3 linked regions of the Lepisosteus oculatus genome follow. The protein of the gene in region 2 interacts with the protein of the main gene of each other region in a biochemical or structural test. Links are inferred from orthologs where the notes say so. Each region holds a gene or a part of one and is shown on either strand. Other genes may lie near its edges.

Evidence for each region. The genes of interacting proteins can lie anywhere in the genome.
Region 1: of the proteins of hdac4 (region 2) and camk2d2, one has a biochemical effect on the other in vitro, tested with the Homo sapiens proteins (2 studies listed by BioGRID, with this or other methods). The link is inferred for Lepisosteus oculatus from reciprocal best matches to the Homo sapiens genes HDAC4 and CAMK2D.
Region 3: the proteins of hdac4 (region 2) and pparg form a complex in vitro, tested with the Homo sapiens proteins (2 studies listed by BioGRID). The link is inferred for Lepisosteus oculatus from reciprocal best matches to the Homo sapiens genes HDAC4 and PPARG.

What each region holds. Positions count from the first base shown.
Region 1 is NC_090696.1:69,085,317-69,092,820, forward strand, and holds the start of camk2d2 (calcium/calmodulin-dependent protein kinase type II delta 2 chain), read right to left. Parts: upstream 3,019-7,504; 5' UTR 2,228-3,018; coding exon 2,166-2,227; intron 707-2,165; coding exon 612-706; intron 1-611. UniProt on the Homo sapiens protein: Calcium/calmodulin-dependent protein kinase involved in the regulation of Ca(2+) homeostatis and excitation-contraction coupling (ECC) in heart by targeting ion channels, transporters and accessory proteins involved in Ca(2+) influx into the myocyte, Ca(2+) release from the sarcoplasmic reticulum (SR), SR Ca(2+) uptake and Na(+) and K(+) channel transport.
Region 2 is NC_090707.1:21,979,227-21,986,561, forward strand, and holds the start of hdac4 (histone deacetylase 4), read right to left. Parts: upstream 3,007-7,335; 5' UTR 2,909-3,006; intron 1-2,908. UniProt on the Homo sapiens protein: Responsible for the deacetylation of lysine residues on the N-terminal part of the core histones (H2A, H2B, H3 and H4).
Region 3 is NC_090699.1:62,231,742-62,238,994, reverse strand, and holds the start of pparg (peroxisome proliferator-activated receptor gamma), read right to left. Parts: upstream 3,019-7,253; 5' UTR 2,842-3,018; intron 1,433-2,841; 5' UTR 1,400-1,432; coding exon 1,336-1,399; intron 1-1,335. UniProt on the Homo sapiens protein: Nuclear receptor that binds peroxisome proliferators such as hypolipidemic drugs and fatty acids.

The sequences.
Region 1 (7,504 bases), on a different chromosome or scaffold from region 2:
TATTACTTGATAAATTTAAGAACTCGGTGACCTGTACAGCAGAAATACTTAACTAGCCTAAGAGTTATATATATATATTACTTAACAACCATGTAACCTTGAAGAAGGCTCCAGGACAGAAATGTTGTGTTTTCCTCCTTCTCTTTTCAGCATGGAATAAACCTATTACATGTTCCTTGGCAGCCTATGCATGGTGACGCAGCTACCCACCTGAACTACTATGTAACTAACTATTCACTAAAAGCCCCTTTTCCACAATTGTCATAAAGCGGTACTTCAGAGGAGCCTACAAAGCATTGAAAACATCTTACTATTTGCACACAGCCAATCAGTATCGTGGTGCTTGTCTTTATGAGGATTGGCAAGTGGAAAGATTTCCTAACGAGACATACAAAACAATTAAGACTATTGATATTCAATGGCTGGGACTTTTTTGCCAACATTACTGGAAGGAAACATTCACTGTTAAGATTTTTTTCAGTAATTTCACAGAAGTGCTGGCTGGATTCATGCAGAAGAGCTTTTCATTTCAAAGTTTCTTCAATTCCACACTACACTTTCACATTTCCATAGGTACCCTACACAAACGTGAAAGGCTTCTAGGCACGTACCCCTGGCAGAGAGCTTTTTAGTGTTGATAATTTTGGCAGCATACTCCTGTCCAGTCGAGATCTTCACGCATCTCCTCACAACTGAGAAGGCACCCCTATAAAAATGAGAACAGACACAGAGCACTGCATCACTTGGCATAATATTTACAGTATACAGTATATGTAACATCCAATTTATACATATAAAGGAATTAAATACAGCAAAAAAGATCGACCTTCATATTTAAATATAAATACACATTTAAGATAATATGAACGATCATGAAAATATCTTTTGGACATGAAACATCCCTGCGGAATACTGTGCCCTATTAATAATTAGACCTCAGAGACTGGGCCTTTGGGAAAGAGCGGGTTTAAAAGAACTGCATCCCATTAGAGGTAATTTTTGTGCTTTGACATTTGTGTTTCTAAACCATCTGAAGTTAAACTGAACATATTAAAGACCTCAAAGTCTCTTGGCACTACCATGAATCATCATTTGGACTTAAGTCTAGGCGTAAGGCTGTAAATAGCTCTGCAAACAGAAGAAAGTGAAAATGACCTAATTGCACCCTCCCCCACACATTTTTTTACTGGCAGTACAGCAGATATATCTTTAAACTTATTTAATATGTAAATTGCTTCTTATACCAGCATAAGCATACCAGCTGTTTGCGTAAACCGTATTTAAACCATGGGATTTAAATACAAGCTTAACATTTTTCCACCCGCATTTATAAAAGCAACGTTCAAAATCCTAGGCGATGAACACAGTGGATTTCATTTACAAACGAGATATCAATGATGATATCAATTTGAAACTAAAATTCAAAATGAAGAACTACAGTATGTTTGGAAGGATGTCTAACCATTTTAACGGTCTCCATGTACTGTACAGTATGTGGACGGAAGACAACATCGATTAATTTAAATTCGTCCCATATTAAGACAGAAGCAAACAGCTACTATAATAGCAATTACAAAGACTTACAGTATAAATCTACAGGTCACCTTCTGTTACTTCCAAGTGTGGGGATATGGCAAAGCGTGTAATCCAATCATTAAGAACATGATCACACTATTATACAGCCGGATAGAGAGCCTGTTGCTTTTTATACACCTTAATTACTAGAAATCAAGACAGCGTGTGTTATGGGATATTCTGTTTTAAATATAAGGTGGGCACTGAAACAACGTTATTTTGTCTGCTTAGAGTGAACTCCTTATCGCATTGCACTAGCGAATGTCTAAAACACAAATGCAACACCGACCAACCCTTCGAAGCAGTCCACCAGATATGTACTGTAACAACAAAAATAAACACCCATGTATATGCACACTATTTAGAGCACATAGGTTATATACTGCATAAAGGAACGCAGATCGTTTAAATTTAGTTTCATTCAAGTCAAATTTTCACCAGGAGGTTACTGAATTCAAATAGACCCATAAGCACTGTTAAACGCGCAGTCTTACCCCTCTAGCTTACCGAATAACTTGTGCAATAGCTTACTGCTTGACATAAACATAGGTTTATTAACATCTATTTCCAATAATGAGAGACTTGCTTACTTCCCAAGCTCCTCGAAAAGCTGGTATTCGTCAGTAAACCTGGTACAGGTTGTTGTAGCCATGATGAAGGAAACGGGCTAAATGAAGAAGGAACAAAAATGCCTCTAAAATGTATCTTGTTAAGATCTCCCCGTTCCAGTCTTCCTTCAGTGGTTTCTTGTCCCAAAAAACAAAAAGTAAAAATCCAGTGGAGGAGATTCTAAAACGCCTGACTGCGTCTCAAATGTATATTTATATCACTGAATCTCGCTTGCGTTAGTAACGTTGAAAGCGGCAGATCTCTGCTGACACACAGCCTCTGTGTGCAATAACATTTCTCTGGAGTGCTTCCTGATTTTAGATACTGTACCAGATCTCCCCCTAGCTGTACTACCAATCTCCTATTTCTGCAAGAAGATGTCTACAGTAAATCGTAAATCCGAAGCGTCTATCTCTGTAGGCGAATAAGTGCCCTGCTTCTTATAGCGCCAAGACCTCTGAATCGGCTTTAGCCTTTAAAGGAAAATGTATTTTGAATTGTTCGATAACAACAACAACAACAACAACAACAACAACAAAAAGCAAACAATATGGGTCAGATGTTTGTGTACGGCGTGGTCATTTCGCTGTGTGGTGTACACCTGCGGTACACCAGCTTTAATCTTTAAAGGACTAATTGGTTTCGATCCACACAGAAACACCACGACTCATGTGCGCGCTGCAAAAACAATTTTCTGGCTTATATGTTGCTGGGTTATTTTAAAGAGTGTGCAGTTTTAAAATAATGCGATACATTGTGTTAACCACAATGTCTTGTTGCCCCCCCCCAATCACAGATCTGTATAACAGTGCCTCTACAATACTGCATGTTCGCAACCAGATTTCAGAAAGACGAATATAAATCCTCCCGTTTACCGCGAGAAACGGAAAAAGTAGTGCGAGAGTTACGTTAAACTGGGAGGAGAAACCACTTTTAACTCTCGTTGTTTGCTTAGCGTTATAGATCCGTCTGCGAGGGCCGAACGAGTTCGTCTTGCACAGATTAATATATTAATATTTGACAGTGGCACAGAAGGACGGTGAAATTTCAGCAGAGAATATTGTTGCTCGCTATTATTTTTTCTCATCCGACTGTAAAATTCTCTGCCCCTTATGTATTTTGAGTAAAAATGATAAGAGGAGAAAATAAATAGACGATAGGGATAAGAGCAGTATTGATTATATTGGAGCCTCCTCATCCTGAGTTGAGACCGCAGTAATGGCAAATGAATGCAACAGAATCAGTGATGTACCCGCGGAGGTTGGCTTTTCTTTGGAAATGTTTCAGTGATCATCCACAAAATCCCGTTTTCTTTTCCGAAATCTCTGAAAAATAAATACCTCAATGTTTCTACACTCAAAATTGTTATGAATAGAAACTTCCAGGTCTTCACTTTGTAATGCAGATCCAGCTATCTGTTATGCCTAACTCTACAGATGAAGAGACACTGATTCACCTCTCTTGAGACATAACAGAAGTTCATGCATTTGAAGAATAAGGGGTACCTGTAACTCACAAGGATCTGCATTGAACCATTTTCTGGTATTATCATCAAGCTGTTTACATAATAAACAAAACAACTAACAGGATATTATGAAAACAATTTTGATGAAAAAACTAAAGCAAGTTATCAACGGGGGGGGTGTTGTGTTGCCCAACAGTATGCTATTGCTTCACAACAATGTGCTTGTCATATTTTATTTTGGTCAAGCCACTGTTTTGTGAACACTAGTCTTACCCTACAGATCTGGTCTTGTGTAATTACTACCTGCCTTCAGATCTGAAATCTAACATTCGTGGGGTTCAATGGACTGCCGTTCACTGATGTCACGGGAGGACAGTGAGGGGAGACCATCTGTAAGCACCTTGTTTTGTAGTTAAGTGATATTGTAGATAAATGTATGTCTGTCAGCAGTTGCCCAACCTTTTGTGACTGTGTCTCAAAAACACAGGCACCATGCAGGCTAGGCAAAAAAGAAATCCCTGCTTAGCCAGAATTTAACACAGAAAACCAAGTCAATGCACCTTTATGAAAAAAAAAATCAAGATGAAGGTACTGTATGAGAATTTTGTTGGAGAGGTAAACAAGAGAATGTATGTGCCCTCAAAATAACCTGACAATATGCAGTATTCTGGTGGATATACAGTACAAAGCATTTACTGTAGCTGTTAGGTGGTATTTTACAGAACGCATAGTAGTGATCCATATTTAGGATATGAGTTTACTGCATTGTGTAACTTAGTAACAATTGTATTTATAGCTGAATGTGGGTTACATTATTGTTAAAGTTATGATATATACAGTATATTGTAGTGTGTATATACAGTGCTGTATTTGCAGTCAGCTGCTGTAGTGTACTTACCTTTATTTGGTTTTGAATTACTTCCCTTATTCATAGTTTGTAGGTTTGCAATATAAACCAACTGCCAATTTCCTGTTTCCTAAATATGGGGTGGGGGTGTGTCTGGCCAGCATTTATAAGCTCAGAGAGTCCTCTAGTGGCTTTTCTATGCTGAGGAGAGGGTTATGTTTTGTCCTCTATGGATTTTAAACAGTGGGTTTTATTTTAATGTTAAATCACCCCATTTTGTTTCACTTCAATAGGTAAACTTTGATTGTTGTTTTACATGATTTGCTCACATCTCAAAGGTTTTAAATTTATTCTGGGACATTTGTTTATACAGTACACAGCATGAGCAGGAGGAGAGGATTACGTACCATTGAGTGAATAGACAATGGCATCTTTACAAAGATTCTTCTACTCTGCAACTTGATGAAATCAAATCTTCATGCTTCCTTACCACAACTAAAAGTGAATATATTTATGACGTATTTAAATACTTTGCACAGGTTGCAAGTTGTTTTCTTCAAAAGTAAAGCATAAGTCCTTAAATTATCATACTCACCATTGACCAACTTTCCCCTTTAATATGACGATACTCTACACCATAAGATTCTCAAACATTTGTGTCCATATAAAACAACAATGCATTGTAAAACATTTACTGTATGCAACCAAAGACAGGAATTCAGATGGTTTATATGCTAACTATTGAAGTCTGTATTTAAAGTTTAATTTACAGATGCCCTCATAAACAGGCAAAATCTATTCCAGAATAGATTTATACAAGTGATTGTGCAGTACAGCTTTCATCCCTACAGTATAGTCGTTATTTCTCCAGCGGTCGGTAAAAGGTGACACTAACACATGAGGTTTTTGAAGGCTCATATTTCTCCTGCTTTTAAAAGGTGATTTTTTGTCTGGCTTGGTCTACAGATAGCTTGAGAACTTGTAATGTTATTGCCCAGTAAATGCTTTAAAACCTCAGAAAAACGTTTTGGTTCCCTGAAATTGGGAGAAGAGGGCAAAATCATCCTACACATGAATGGAACAGAACTGAGTAACCAAATTCCACAGATGACTCAGTTTGAGAGGAATGATGAGAAAGTAGAAAGCCATTGTTCCTCTTTTAACCACAGTGATCTGGGCACAGGGAGCTGCTGCTGTAATTTAATTTCTCAGAGCTCTGACATTTTTCAGTTTTATTTTTTTTTTCTTAGCCAAAGGTTGTGCAGTAGTCTCTTGTCAATTCCTGTTTCCTCCTAGCCAATCAACATCGAATGGCTGTGGCCTTACCTCAGCCCACACGGTGAGACTTACTCTTGTGAGCACCAGAGTTTTTCTTGATTTTCTGCCTCACTGCTTCCAAGTATTTAAAGCTAATGAGACAATACATTAGTAAGGAAGAAATCTCCAAATTGATACATGCTGAGTGATTTAAGAAGGGATGCTGCTCCAAAGCTATGCAATTGCATTTGTTAAATATCTGGCATAAAAAAGAATGCATTCATTATTTCATGTATCTTAATCTCTAGCTTTTACACATTATATAGAAAATGTACATAAGGTGTCAACATAAACATTAACCTTTTTCATAAGTAGCTGTTTCCAGCTTAGGAGTTCCCATTTTGTATTTATAGTTTATATTTTTGCTACCTGCATGCAAAGCCCAGCACATGTCTATCTTATCTTCTGAATCTAATGTGACATCCAATTCGTTATAAAAAATACAATTTTAACTCTTAAAAAGAACATATATGTAATATAAGTCCTGCCTGGTAGCTGGTACTGTACACTCACCAGTATCCAGAGGACATACTGCTTGTGTTTAATACATGATATTGTTAAATTACTGTAAATATTTATTCTTACAGACTGGACTTACTGCAGAATGTTTTGGTGATGGAAGTGTTATTTTCAAGGACGGTGAGATACTAATGCTCTGGAGATCCCGGTGGTCACCAACATCTGAGAGTTGACACCCCCTGTTTTTCTTCCAGCCCCAATCCTAGTCGTTTTCCCTGTGTTTGTCTCACTCCCCTCCAGATTCTGCCATCTGCATAGGGTCCTGAAAAACACTTCGTGACAGTCTTCTTCTATCTTCAGACTCCCAGCACTAACAAAGACTGTTCCAGATCCTTAAATCTTCAGCAATGTGAAGTGGCTTATTCATTTTTCCTGTGACATGTTAATACCTCCCTTAATAAGTGCTTAAGCAATGGTTTAAATGTGTCCACCTTGAGCAAGGTCTGTCAGTCTTCCAAGAGCTGGGTATCTACTGTATCTGAAAACTTTAGTCAGCACTCAATGCTACAGTACATGAGGTTTGTCTGAATCACAGATGAGGATATAAGATCATATTGTAGAGCATGATGATGAAATAAGTGGTTATTTCTATTAACTCACAATGTAGAAATGTGAACTATACTCTTTTCTTTGCTTCACTATTGATAAAACAAGTAAAACAAATCTCAAGAACTTTGGCTAAAATGTACATGTAAACAGAAAGTTTGGAAGATAATATTACAGTATATCTTCTTATATCTTTCACACATTTACAGTATATTTCCTGACTTTAATTACTGTACTAGGACACATCTGCCAAAGATCTCTGTCTGATCCTTGCTGTGTAGCGGGTAACTGTGGTTGGTTGAATACAATTATGTTACAAAAAGTATTAAAATTAATATCTTATCAAGCTTGAAATTGTTGCTAAGAGCCTGGACCAAGTCGCTAGTCAGCTGTTACCTGTGTTCCAGGAGCAATACTGCAGTATTTAGTTTGGGTTGTTTTAGCATTCACTGTGATTCCTGGGACCTAACAGGTGACTGCAAGTTTTCAGTGACGTCGGTGAGAGACACACCACTCTTTCAATTGTTACTAACTAGAGTGTCACTAACTGGCATTGTAACGGGACTGAGTGGCATTGAGAATGTTACAGAAGTGAAATCCCCTCTGTTAGAACCTACCGTAGATAC
Region 2 (7,335 bases):
CAAAATACACAAAGTCTGTGTAAAAATGCTTTAGGAATTGTTCAATATGGTACCAGCTTTTAATTGAGTTACATGTATACTAATTCATTAAAAAAAAGAGAGAGACAGCAAAAGGCCCCTGGTTTTTCTAACCATACAGATCACATTCTAAAACCAAAAGGCTGTTATTCTCCAGTGTCTTGTTTTTTTTTAGCTAATTTTGTTTTAAATGTCCCCGTACCCCCCACCCCACCCCAATGTTTACTGTGCTAGACTGGCATAAGCCCAAACTTCTGATAGGATGTGAGACACACTACAGCAGACATTAGAGTCTATTATTAAACAGCAGTAAATGTTCATTATCTGCCTGAACGTAAAATTGATCCGCAATATCCTCAAATAGGTTTCAATTGTTATCCTAAACTATAAAAAGTAAATCACCTATTCCCAAAATGAAGTCATTATTTAAAGTCATACCCTTGTGCCAAGCTGTGTAAGGGATATAAAACATTTGTGTGGTGCCTGGAATTCATGAGTAACAAGTACTCTGGACTCCAAACAAGGCTGGCGTTAAATCCATAGCCAGTCATTATACAGCTGAGATCTTTGCCACAGTATCACACAATAAAACATTTAACAGCTCAATTCTCCTATACGGTGCGACATTCTCCACTGACTATACCGTTGCTTTTCTCACCTGTTCTTGGTTGTCTTTGGATGTCAACGCACAAAGAAAACGAGCTTTCATGAGGCTGTTTTTTATATACTTCAAAACCAGCTTTACGACATCCAATCGGAACAGCATATCCAATCTGTGAGAACAAGCTTGTGACTTTTATAAATAAAAGTTTTGTGTTGGCATGCCATTCGTTGAAAGACCTGCCGAGATAACTGTGCAAATCGATTAACACACTTTCAGTGCTCTGACAGCATAATTTATTTGAACATGGTGAACTCTACTTAAAAGAAGTGACTTTCAGTGTTGGAGCTATCTTTTTCAGAATAAAGGACAGGAAGGCGATGGTTAATTCAAACCACATTTTAAACGAAGTGGAGTAATTGTTTATTTAAAAAAAACAACTGTGATTAAAATAAATTTACAGCAGTAATTTGTAGAAGCCTATTTTCCCCAAGAACAGTCACATTTAATCCTGGTTCAACAGAGCGGGCTTTTCTCAGTTTTTGACATGGGACTGCAATAAAGACACCTAGAAAAAACGCAGACACAATGGCCCTCCAGGACCAGGACTCGATATGTAAAAGTTAGGATTTCCTCAATATTTGTTTTTTTTTTCTCTGGGCCAACACCGAATCAAACACCCACACCACAAAACACTGTCCTCAAGATGTTACAGTCATTCTGCAGACGGTCGATGAAAACGGGACTTTTTGCTGTACTGTTGCAGCTCCTGTGTAATGAGAAGGGCAGTAAATCTTATTTGCTCCTTACTTTTCAGAAATGTCGGGAGAGAAATATTTAACATATACTTGTCATTTCAACATTGACGAAATAAAGTTACGGGTCATCCCCATGGGCCACGTATAAATACACTTTATTTACCAATGTACTGCGCATCTCAAAGCAAATCGCCCAAATAAAAAATTAAGAGGGCTGAATACAAAGAACTGAAGTGTTCTTAGCCCACGAGTATCAATCAAACTTTCATTCATTCGTAAACTGTAGTCTGCGATCCGTGCTCAGTAACGTGATTCTAGAGCCGAGAGACAGCAACATGCTGCTGGCTACCTTATTGTAAGTTTTGGCACGTCCTACGATGCGCATAGTTACAGAATTTTTCTACAGATTTCCACAGTTGCTGTGTACAGCCAACATTGTCCTTCGCATGGGTTACCGTTACACGAAAAGGTACCTGCCATTTCTTAATGCATACCACAGACATGAAGGGATTCATGAAATCATACTTTTCCGTTGGTGCACATCACTGTAACGCTTTTGTTAAGACTACAGTCTGGCGGTGCGTGATCATTTCAGTACAGCCAGCAGTACACTGAAAACAGCCCAAATTCCATGTAAAAACTCCCCTTACTTTACGGTTGATAAACGCCTTGTATTCTCAATGTAAAGTGAAGAATTCGAAAAAACTGTACTGTATACATAATAAGATTTCAATTTAATAATCTTATTGAAAATAAGGACACTTTCCAAATGATTAATAGACCTTAAAACGCCTTTTTTTTCTCCATAAGACAACGTCTTAAAGCAACAATGATACACATCAAGGAGGTTATTATACTGTATGTGCACCAAATTGTAACTACCTGGTTGCTGTACAGACGCACAAAAATATTATTGTACCCTGATCCTTACAATCTGGGAGGGACAGCAGATTAAAAACAACCTACCCTCATTCACAAAAAAATACCGATGCACACTTTCAAAACCGCCCACTCAAATCATCCTTAATATGACTGGTTATTACAGATTTCCCCCCTTTTGGTTGCGAGCATTGATTGGCAAAGGTCTGTGTCAATCATTAAATCTGAGCAGTTACGCCCTCTCGATCCACCAGGAACACAACTCGTATTGTCATAGGCCAGACGGACGGCCAATTACGCGAATGAATCGCCAGACCGCCCAAACATGACGCCTATAGGCCGGCGTCTCTGTCCATCTTCCACTATCTGAGGCTCTTACCTGACACAGATTGGTCGATGTTCATTAACGACCGTTAAAATACCACCCATTCTCCCAAACATTCATGTTCGGTAGAACGGTAGCGATTCAGAAAAAAAAAATGTTGAACGTGAGTGCGACCAACTTAAATACGGTACAAAACACAGTTAAGATACTGCATACCTACCCACAGGCACACATTGTTTTGCTTTTTTTAATACAAACTTGTCACTCAGTGCTTGCTGTGAGCAGAGGCACTTGAAGAGGAGAACGCTACTTTGAATCAATGCTCACCTACCTGCCCCGGGAGGCGGTCACTCCAGTCTGAAAAAAGTAATGTATTTAATTCCCGTTGGAGAGTGCGCCAGCGAAGGAGTCACTCACTGACAGATTCCGCCATACTGGATTTTGGCAAGGGGGATCACGTGTCGCGCTCCTGCATTTGAGTGCGAGGCGGAGCTTAATCCCTACAGTGTCTGAAGACATCAGGCAGTGTTGCAGTAGGTGGTGTACTTTATTGTACCAGCGTTATTAATGTGCTCTTTGAGTGTTTATTGCTTATGTCTTGGTTTTCTCAAAATCACACGGTCATTGAAAGCAATTTTCTCAAAATATAAGAACGTCCCTACGTTTTTTCATACCACATTTCAGAGGATTATTTCTCAAAATAATTGGCGTTTGTTAGTTTTAAACGGGTTTCTAGAAACTAACATCTTTTTTGAATACCTGTGTAAAGCGGTTATTAGTTCTGAGCATAAGCTTAATTATGCATGTTTACTGACTTTATATAATAGGTTGCATTTTTACGATACGTTTTTTTTGCTTAAATGTTCTAAGTTTTTAGCAGGGTATAGAAGTAAACACAAATGAAACACTAAAAGAGCAAAGGATAAATACTTGCTACATCATTTAATACTGTAGTGTTTGTATTGTAACGAAATGTTCCAAGAGAAGAAACCAATCAGCCATTCCATCTTGGTTATTTGGGTGCTAGAAGCTTTTAACTCCCTGCATTCATATAGCCTTTTTCATCCTAAAGAGTTGTAAACATAGGAGTGGGATCCTCTTCATTCACCGCTGAAATGCAGTATTCACCCAAGAGATGCTGCTACAATAAATCAATGCTGCTATTCAATACATTTAGTGTCTGTACATCTAGTTCTTGTTGAATCATATTCCAGAATTCCACAATTGTACAGTTTGTTCCAGACTCCCCCCAACACTTCTAGGAAAGTGCTTCCCCAATTTCAATGCTAAATGTACTCCTTCTCAGAAGCACTTGTTTCAAAGTAGTCATCTACTGTAGGTCAGATTTATTTATTCCTACCATATTTACTAATCCTTGACTATGCCATCTACTGATAATCAAGCCCTGGATCTCAGAAAAAGTCTGAATCCTTCCCCCCTACTCCCGCTCTTAAACAAACGAGTTCTGGGATCAACTTTAAACCCAGAATATTATCAACAATCCCAACCCCACCACCACCACCACCACCATCAACATAACCCAGGTAAGTCAAGGAATAACCAGAAAATGACCATAATAGATGCAGAAAGCCAGAACAGAAGCTGTAATATAATTATATATAAAAATGCAAGTTATAATAAAATCTAAAGAGGCACGGGTAATAATGTCACCACACAGAAACCACATTGGACTCAAAGATAAAATACTGTACAAGTCATCTAATATCCCTGAAATTAGACATGTTCCCCTACTTAATCTATGGTGGTGTAGCAAAGATTATAAAAACAAACATAAGGGAGAAGCCCACAATGAAGCCTCTAATCCAGGTTGATTCTCTAACCTGTAATAGGGGCCACCGCCACTATCAATGGCTCAATGTCCCTAAACAGCCACTTGGCTATAAAAAGATTGGGAATAGTTCCGTCAGCCCCATGCCAAAATCAACAGGATCACTTAGACTCACTCCACCTATGTCAGGACAGATACTCTCACAAGATATTTCTGCTTGTTGGTGAACTGTATGTAACCCAACTTAACCTTGACTAATAACAGGCAACAGTTCCAATTAATTTGACCCATGAATTATCCAACTGTCCTTTGTGTTTCAAAGTATACAAAAACATCCTGGCTGAAAGGCAATGAAATATATAAAAAGCAGTCAGAGTAAAAACAAAATCCAGAATTTGCAATTATACCCCAATACTCTAGTTCCATTCACCATCTTAAATCACATTTCTAGTCACCTGCCCTGCTAATTACTCCAGGTTATTATAGCCAACATTCCCTTCTAACAAATCACTATAAATCTCCCAATTTCCCACTCTTTCTCTCAATACCCAAACCGAATCAATCCCTAATCCATTTACTCCAGCCATCTAATGATTGCAATCTGACCCTTGGAAACTTCAGGGACTTCAGTACTGTACTTTACACCCAATTTTCAAAAAAACAACAACATTGAATTCAAATGTATAAGCCCTGCACAAAACAAGGTGCATAAATCCATGACTAAAAAAATAAACAAACAACTACAAAAGTCTTTAGTGGCAATGGAATGGAGCATTTGGATCATGTCCTCTTGTAGTCTTTCTGTTGCACCATCAACCTGTTCAGCAAATTACAATCACCACCCTGCCATTTCAATGCAAGAACATCACCTTAGAGCCTAAGATGTATTTTCTCCAGCCTCTAGGTCACTGTGACCCAAAAGGCCTCTTAACTTAATCAGCCCATTGCCACTGAAACCTCCCTTTGGAACTCTCACTCTGTTTCCTACCAACCTGAAATCTAGACCCACACTGAGACCCTTTTCTTACTGACTGTTCTTCTACACCTCTCAATTAGTCCAGGGGCGTGGCCACCTCCACACAGAGCCTTTCCTATTTCCCTCACTTTCTCTCTCTGAATGATAATTACTCAATTAGTTCAGGTGGGTAGATGTGTCAGCATGCTTAGGCTGTAAAGGAACAAGTAATAGGTTTATTCCATGCTGAAAAAAAGAAGAAAAAACACAATGTTTTGGCCGTGGAGCCTTCTTCAGGTGAAATTATTGATACTCTCAAACCTATTAAAATACTGTATATCTAACATTTTTCAGATTAAACCAACCCTATCTAAATCCATGTGGATTCAGTTTGTTATACTGGACATATTTATTAACAGTCAACATGACCTTCCAATGTAGATTTTATTTTTTCCTAACCTTGCAAAAAGAGATATAAACGTCGCTGGCATAAAGTCTCTGGTTCAGTGTTCAGCCTTTCCTCTGAATGTATGCATCATCTGCATTTTTTCACTGGGAACACGAGTCATTTGAAATATCCCAGTTAAGGGTACCTGTCACATTCTTTATTTCCTGAAAGACTTATGGACCTGGTCATCAGGTCCAGCCAATTAGTTAACTCTACAGAGAGTTAAGATTATTCAAAACCAAATGGAGCCTAAGGGATGCTGAGCTCTCTTCAGTGAAAACATTTGGTCAATATACCAGTACTTGTTGTTCCTTTTTCATTGTCTACAATTAACAGACTTTCAGTAGTGAAAAAAAAAACTCTTTGTGTTAGTTTTAGCTCCCAGTGCATATTCTTCTCCATTTCTCTCAGCTGTTCTGATGTCAGATTTGACAAATGCAAGCCCCTCACTGTATTATGTTTCTATTGGTCCTGGTTTAAATTAAATGTAATTTTAAAGTGAATTTGTTCTCCCTTAATAATTTGTGCTTTGGGGCTTCCAACATGAAGATATCTTCCACAGAGGAATAATAACCTTTTGATAACCTTCATCCATACACAAATGTTCACTTACAGTACATAATGTTCAGACCACTTGTTGTAAGGACATCAGAAATCTACTAATCAATTTTTGTTTGATAAAGGAGACAGACTCTTCTTTTCAAACATGTTTCTGAATGTGGCATAATCAGAGAGAATAGAAGAGGAAACCCATATACAAAACTGAGCAAAGCCCCACCTATCAAACAAGATATTGTATGATCTCTAATACTCCTACATGAGTTATACGAATATATGCAAGTGCCAATACCCATGTAACATGGCTCCAAGTGTAAAGGAGTAACAATAGATCAATATAAGAATTGCAGTGAAGAGCAATTGTGTACCACTTCTTTTCAGATTTGTATTTGTTCACCATTATGATAGATTTGAATTGAGCATTAAAACATATGACCATCCATTCAATTCTGAAACCGTTAACCTGAAATTTACAATCCATCATTTCCACTGTGTCATTTTCAGGTTTGGACCTTTCAACTTACAGAAAGCATCCTTGTTAAACAAAATACTATCATATAATGAGGCATTTAAGTGTAACCATAGAACATGTAAGAATCAGAATTTCACACCATTGTATAAAACAAAAGATGCCTGGCCTCACAATATAACATTTGCATATGTTTTGCTTGGGGGAAGGAAGAAAAATGAAGTGCTCCATTATTTTTGGATGTTGCATTGTGTTCAAGAAACAAGAAAGAAATATTAAGTTTGATATTGTTTGTTAATTTTACTTTTAATCCATGTCCTGGTCATTTTCCCTGAGTAAGAAAAAACAGAATAGAAGAACTGCCCTGGAAGAAAAAACTGAACAACTAATCCTGTTACTATACACGGGTACTATAAAATGTTCCCGTGTAGAATAGTGATAAAAAAACATCGTGCAGTTAAAAAATACAGATGTGCAATTAAAATTATAACAAATGCTGTGTCCACAAGGTAGAGGAAGGACCCTGTGTGTCGTT
Region 3 (7,253 bases), on a different chromosome or scaffold from region 2:
TTCAGTACAAAAGCAAGAGCTACCATCTTTGTACAGAACAGGGCTAACACTGGTGCAACCTGTTTGACCACATTCAGCAATATCTTGAAAAAGGATAAGTCATCCTAGAAATATGACTAAACAAGCAGCTAGCCCAGTCTTCACAACAACCTTTATTTATGTTTGGATCTCCTTACTCTGTAACTCTCTTCTTGGAATTAGAAAACTTTACAATTTAGTATATGTTCTTGTCAGTTGTATTGTAATCATTATAGCTTCTACAACAAAAAGAAGCTACATCAGAAAATACCTGAATAATTTCAGATATTTCACCGACTTGTCTGCTTTGATTTAATCAATTTAATCCTTGACTAATGCATAGATATTTAAGATTTGAGTGGAAACTACATTATCTTCAGAGATAGTATCATATTTACATTTCTGATGCTATGCCACAGAAATCCTGGTCTGAATTAACTTCATGGCCAGGAGACAAGGCTGACAGAAATGTTTGGGAATGGATACTGTAAGAAGGATATTTTACATTTGCGTATACTTTATGACTGTTAGAACTTTAAATGTTGTTCCATACAGAGATAGGCCTATTTTCCCGAAGAAATGTCTTATGTAAAGCTGTGTGACACTCCTGAGTGCCTGTCTGATGGAAATCCTGGAACAGTTAGTTCAAAAACAGATTGTTTGCAGGGAAACTAGGACAGGTGCCACTGAAAAGGCTATTACGTATCCGTCCTGGAGATGCCTTTATTGTGTGACAATGTTTTTTCACAAACATGTCTGGAGAACATGAATGTAATAATCAAAGCGTACAATGCAATGGACTCATTTACACTTTCCAAAGGGAAGATAAGATTTTTAAAGAAGAATGCAGGAAGGGTTCCAAACAAGAGGTCACCATTTACTCCAGCTACTTCTGTTAACAACAGATCTAAATCTCCAAACCTCCAAATGGGTTGTGGGAGTCTGGAACAAGATCCCGAGCCTTGCTGTTGATGCCAAGGCCCAGTCTTCTTTCCAAAAAATTCCCGATTGAGATTCTCAGTTTAATTAGCTACTAGCAACTAAACGGGCAGAAAGGGCCAACTACAACCTTTCTCATATCCTTATCACAGCCACCTGTTTCTAAGACATGAAGAACTGGAATTATGTTTGAAGTGTCATAGAAAGAGAAATATCAAGATAAAAGGGTAGGGATCTTTTTTAGTTTCTGGTTGATTTATCACATTTACATTTTCAACACTGGCACCATGGTAGCATGACAGTTAGCACAACTGTTAAATTTTAGTGGCAATTGTAAATGATCCCTTTCTGGGGGGAATGTTTAGGGGGATTTCATACTTGGGGGTTTGTTCCCAGTATTAGTAGTGAGACTGTGAAGAAAACGGAACCGAATGATCGTCATCACCAGAATGGCCTCTTATCATTGGTGACTGTCCTGAAAAAAAAACAATGTATAGATTTTCCACATGGATACGCGAAGGTCAGATGTATACAATAAAATAACTGGCTACAAATGGCATACATATTATCACCTCTTTTAATCCAAGAAGAAACAATGAATATTTAAAGGGAACTAGATAACAATGTCAGTAATAAAATAATATTTAAGAAACACCTACACAATTCTCAAGATTCTTCCAAAATATGAGCAGGGCTTACTATGAAGAACACCCTGTATTGCACTGTACACTATTGTGCAATCAGAACTAGAATACTTCTTGCAAGCTGTCTAGACACATAACATTATCAAATGCGTAAAGAAAAAAAGATATGATAAATGGAGTCAACTTTGAGAATATCTTTACAGTTTGACATCTTTACAAAAAAATAACTTTCAGTGAGAAAAAGTTTATTTATACTGTACTTCACAGATGAACACAAATCATTTGTTTCAAAATCATATGGTGCAGAATAGGTTTTACATGTAAAAATTGTCCAGCTTCCTGACATACACCTCTGCTTTTTCAATCATTTCATCTACAGTGGAAAGCCCAGAGAACACACTGAGGCGCTGAGTAAGAAACCTCAAAACCAATAGCAGGGTTTTGCCTCTTGAACAGAAGAGGCTGTGAACTCCTGACCCTGGCAGCAGTTCGTTTCTTTGCCCAGGTTAGTTCATCGCGCAACCTTTCAAAATTTCTACATTTTGAAAAATGATACATTTCTGTATACCAGGCTAGTTCAGATTTAGGTCATCGCTGAAACGCGACGGTAGGCTTTTGAAATAACCTCCTTCTTCGATCAGCAGGGTGGTACAAAATGTGAAGCTGAGGGAAAACCCCCCGAGCTTATTGCATTTTCCAAATTAATATCTTATCTAATTTGAATCATTTACCAAATCAGACATTTCTTCCCTTAAATTGTTAGTATTCCACGTACAGTAGGAGCTGAAATAATATTTTAATAGCAACAGACATAAACTACTTGAGAGGTTTGTTTGCTTGTTAAAGAATAGACATATTTCATATTTCAATACATAGACACTTTCGACTAACAGATATTTCTTATTGATCCTGAGATGAGATCTGATCTAAGGGAGGGCTGTGACACACCCGCCCTGCTGGACCAGAATTGGACAATTTTAGGTGTTATAGGTTTTAGCAAACTTATACAATTTCTAAAACTTCACAAATATATTTTCCATGGCTAATTCAAGAGCCGTTACAGTCGTGTGAAAAGTTTCTTTTTTGCTTTTGTTATACTAGTTTATAATAGTTTCCTTTTCCCTCCACATTTTGGATGTTTTGAAATGCCGACTGGCAGAACTTATGCTGATGCTGATGCTAGGGAACCAATTCACTAACACTCCATGAAAAATAAAAAAAGACGAGGGTCAGCACTCACCATACACTGTTTTAAAAAGCTGTGACATCTGGCATCCAAAATTTATGATTTTTCCATTGAGGTGGTTGCGATGAACTTTTGACTTTTAGCAAGTGGGTAATGCCCTTGGTGGATTTGCCCAATTAGTAGGAACTAAAACACACATTTTCCGCTTTTGACACAACATAACCTTAGCAAAAGTGCAGACAGCTAACAATCATGTGGCCTCAGTGTGGAGTATTAGTAAACGCAGATGACTTCCTGTTGCTTCATTCCTACTTACAGACACTCAGTTGCACTTCTCTTGATGGGGGACAGATAATGTTTTTTGTTGTGAGTTTTTTTGTCTTGCCAATATCCTGCAGTTGTTTTACGTAGAACTGGGTGGTTTCATATGAAAGCAAACTTTGGTACTATTACTATGTATATAAAATAAAATAAAAAACAGTCTGAATGTTAACTAAGCACTATTTGAACAAGATTTACAATTTTGTGTCCCTGAAAATAATATATTCTGAAATGTTTAATGAATATCTGAAATTAAACTTATGTGAATGTGTTTCGATCAATTACATCCACCCATTATCTAAAAACTGCTTATTCCTGGTAAGAGTCATGGGAATCTATCACAGAAGCACGTGGTTCCAGTTGGAAGTTAAAAAATACTGGAATTTTAAGACCAAAAAACAATACAATTACTATTTTATTATGAGGAAAAATTGCTTTACAGTGATGAAAAACACATAAAGTAAGATATTTCATGACATTATTAAGCAGTGGATCAAAGTTTGTACTGAAATTAGCTTATGACATAGAGTCATAAGCAATTTCGAAAGATCATCTCTAAAAAACAGAAAAAAGGTTAGAAAATTAATTTTCTTTGAATCCATTAATTCTACCACATGAATCAGACCACCTGGTTAGACTGCAGGTTAGCACAAAATGTATTTTTTATTTTTTCCCAATGCTAACCCAGAGCTTTACAAGATGTGGGTCAAGATGTGGCATAAAACATATTATGGGTCCACGTGCAACAAAATTGCATCATGTTCAAAAGATGAAATCTTAGTCATGGTAAAGCTGTGATTCAAACATAGTAGTACTGTACGTGTTTGGCTAAAATGAAGAATATCAACACGAAGTGGGCAAATAAACTCAAATAAGTTACTATGGCACTCCAATATTTGAAATGATTATATGATAGGGCACGCAAGACAACTTGTAGAAGTCTGTTATACCACAAAGGAAGTCAGAATAGGAGCTGTGTAGAACCTTAATGACAAGAGGTGAACTCAACTCTTGGTTGAGTGCTACAGAAAGGCATTTAAACTAATTATATTCTGAGAATAAGCATGAATGTACATACACCAGTATTTATTTTAACACATATGGTGAGAATAAATTGGGCTGCAGATACATAAGATCAATTTTAAGGTATAAATTCAAAACCTATGTTATCTCTATGAGAAGATATCATTCTTTACCAGATAGCACTCTTGGGATTCCACAAGTCTTACTGGAATTTTTTCAATAACACACTTCTGGCAAGTGCTGCACATCCCAAAATCTTTATTGTCCAGCTCCCTGGGAATTTGATTTTGCACAATATATAACGACATAACCTTTTGCCTAATTTCTTTTAATAGGAACAAGTTAACGGCCGATTACTCCTTTGGGAGCAGCTGAGTTTCCTTCGCGGATAAGGAACAGAACCACAACAGTCAAGGACTTTACTCATCTCGGATGCTGCAAGCCTGCAGAAGGAATCGACACCACTCCTCAATGTATATTAGGAAAGGCAGGAGCTGAGTGGTTAAAATAATGATTCACAGTATGGAAATGCCATTAACCACAAGCTGCCACCCTCATTAAAGGAACATTTGTGGTACTTAGGGTTTTGACTCGAGCTGTTAAGTGTTTGTTGGGATTTTTTTAGGTAAAATTTTAGTTCTGAAGACCCCTCCCAAAAGTGTGCAAAAGGGCTTACCCCCTATCCAGACTGGAAGTTGTTAACCTGGAAAACTCACCTCCCCTCACTCTTGAAGAGCCAGCTCTGAATGGGATCAGTTTACGGGGTTTTTTTTCTATGGCTTTTTTCTGCTTTGTTCCCTATTGTTTTCATTTTAAACAGGAAGGCCATGTTTACTCGCCTTACAGGCACACACCTCCTGAGGTGAAGAACAAGGCTGTAATCAAGAGAAAATAAAACTCATAGCTCATTATGATGTAATGCTATGGCGAGCCCTTGAATTTTAGACTACATGATCGCTTCTAAAGCACTGACGTGGAAATGCCTTCGAAAGATTAAGATGAGGATTTTCAACGTTTTTCAGTGCCAAATATGCTCCCCATTTTCCGAAAGCATAAAATTAAAGTACAAACCTAGTGACAGGAAATGTAGATATGAATATTAGAATTGAAATGAGATTATATGAACACCTACAGAATGTGCAAACAGTAGATGACAAATCCAGACTGATTCCTAAGAATGTTGTGCTCAGTCATGTAATGGGATTAAAATATGTGAACACTAGGTACCTTAAAAATATGATGGAATCTGGTTCACAGTTTCACAAAATGAGCTGGACTTTATTATATGAGGAGTACGGTTTACACTACAGCTAAAGTTTCTAATATGTTTTCTAATACGTTTTCTAATATGTGTTTTAACTCAGCTATAAGCCTATATATCCAAATTTTACAATCTGAAAAAATCACCTTAATTAAAAGTGCCATTGCCTTCACTGCACCTTTGGATTTAGGCAGTAAAACACCATTTGGAGTCTTTTGTTTGAATTTTAGAATCACCTATTTTTACTTTACCTGATTCAGCTAATGGCTATGAACCCCGCAACCTCACATGGAAGAATGAGGAAGTGTATGAAGACTCCTCTTACCTTTCTGCCTTCAAGGCCTTCCACTCTTCACTGGCTACGGAACCCCAATTACATGACAGCACCTCCCCCAGAGCACCCAGGAAATCTGGGGGGTTGCTGGGACCCGAGAGAACCCCAGTTTACTAATCCCACCCCTTTTTTTTCTGTGGTGCTCAGCCAGATCTGGCGCAAACACTAAGGGGAAATCTCAGTCACCATCAGTTAGTGACGCGACCCAGGACTGAACCCCTGAAGCTTTCATCACAGAGATCAACCTGCTCTCAGGTGACAACATCTTTGCAGGTTGAAGCCCACAATTCTGAATATCTCATGAGGTCAGTACAAGTCAGACAGTTATTCATATGCTGAAAAAGCACAGAAAAAAAACCCACATGCACTGTGCAAGGTTCCTTCACCGTTTTGGGGTATTTTAAGATAAGATAAGATCACGTTATTGGTCATATACAATTTCTTGTTTTAAGAATTTGTCTTTTCGCATACGCCAACTTGCTCTCCATGAGACACACAGACAGGGAGAGAAGCTTGGGGTCAGAGCGCAGGGTCAGCCATTTATACGGTGCCCCTGGAGCAGCTGGGGTTAAGGACCTTGCTTCTAGCCACAGGCACAGATCTTTAGCCACAGAGCTACATTTTTTACATAAATCTAAATTGTACAGAGGACATGGAGTGCAGCCTCATAACATGAGGTGCAAACTGATGACATATTTTACGAAAAGCAGGAAGAAGCAATTGCACATTTTTCTATACACCACTCATTATGCCTGTTTGGTCACGGGCTATTCTACCTGCAGGGAGGCTGTTTATTCATGGAGGCTCAGAAAGTTGCGTGTGAGCAGGAACATGATGTGACAAAGACCCAGAGGCCCCATTAGGCACTTTCTAATCAGTGATTTGCTGCTACTGACACACCTTCCATTTATTGGTGAAGTTCAAAGTCCTTCAAACAGATGCACATCTCTTCGAATGAAGTCTACCACTACTGGGTCTCCTGTACATTTGTATGCTTACATAACAAATACAGACTGTGATATAAGGTATTTAATATACTGTACAATGGATCTAATACAATCCAATGTTTGAGAGAATGTTTACCTGCCCTTTCCAGGTTGTGCCACCTTAAGCAGAGAACTCGTTTGTAACAAGTTTCCAATTCAATACTATTACATACATAAGATACACAGACACTAGTCTAACATGTATAAATGAACATAACCCTGTTGTGTCACAAAATATACTGTCAATCCAGGACATCTGTTTAAAGCCCCTGTGATGCACCTACAGTAGTTCTGTATGTAACAAGTAGCGGCTGTTCATAGGTAATATGGGAAGTCAAATTAATTTGAAGTAACTAGATTAGTTCATACGCAATTATAATAAAATATTGTAAATGCAATTCTTTAACTTAGCTTTTTATGCGTACTTAGAATATAGATGAATTGAACTATGATGTAATGATGCCATATGTGATCCAAACATTTCTAAAAATGTATAATGTTTCCAAAGTTAAAGGGAAAAATGAACAGAAACAGTGAACGT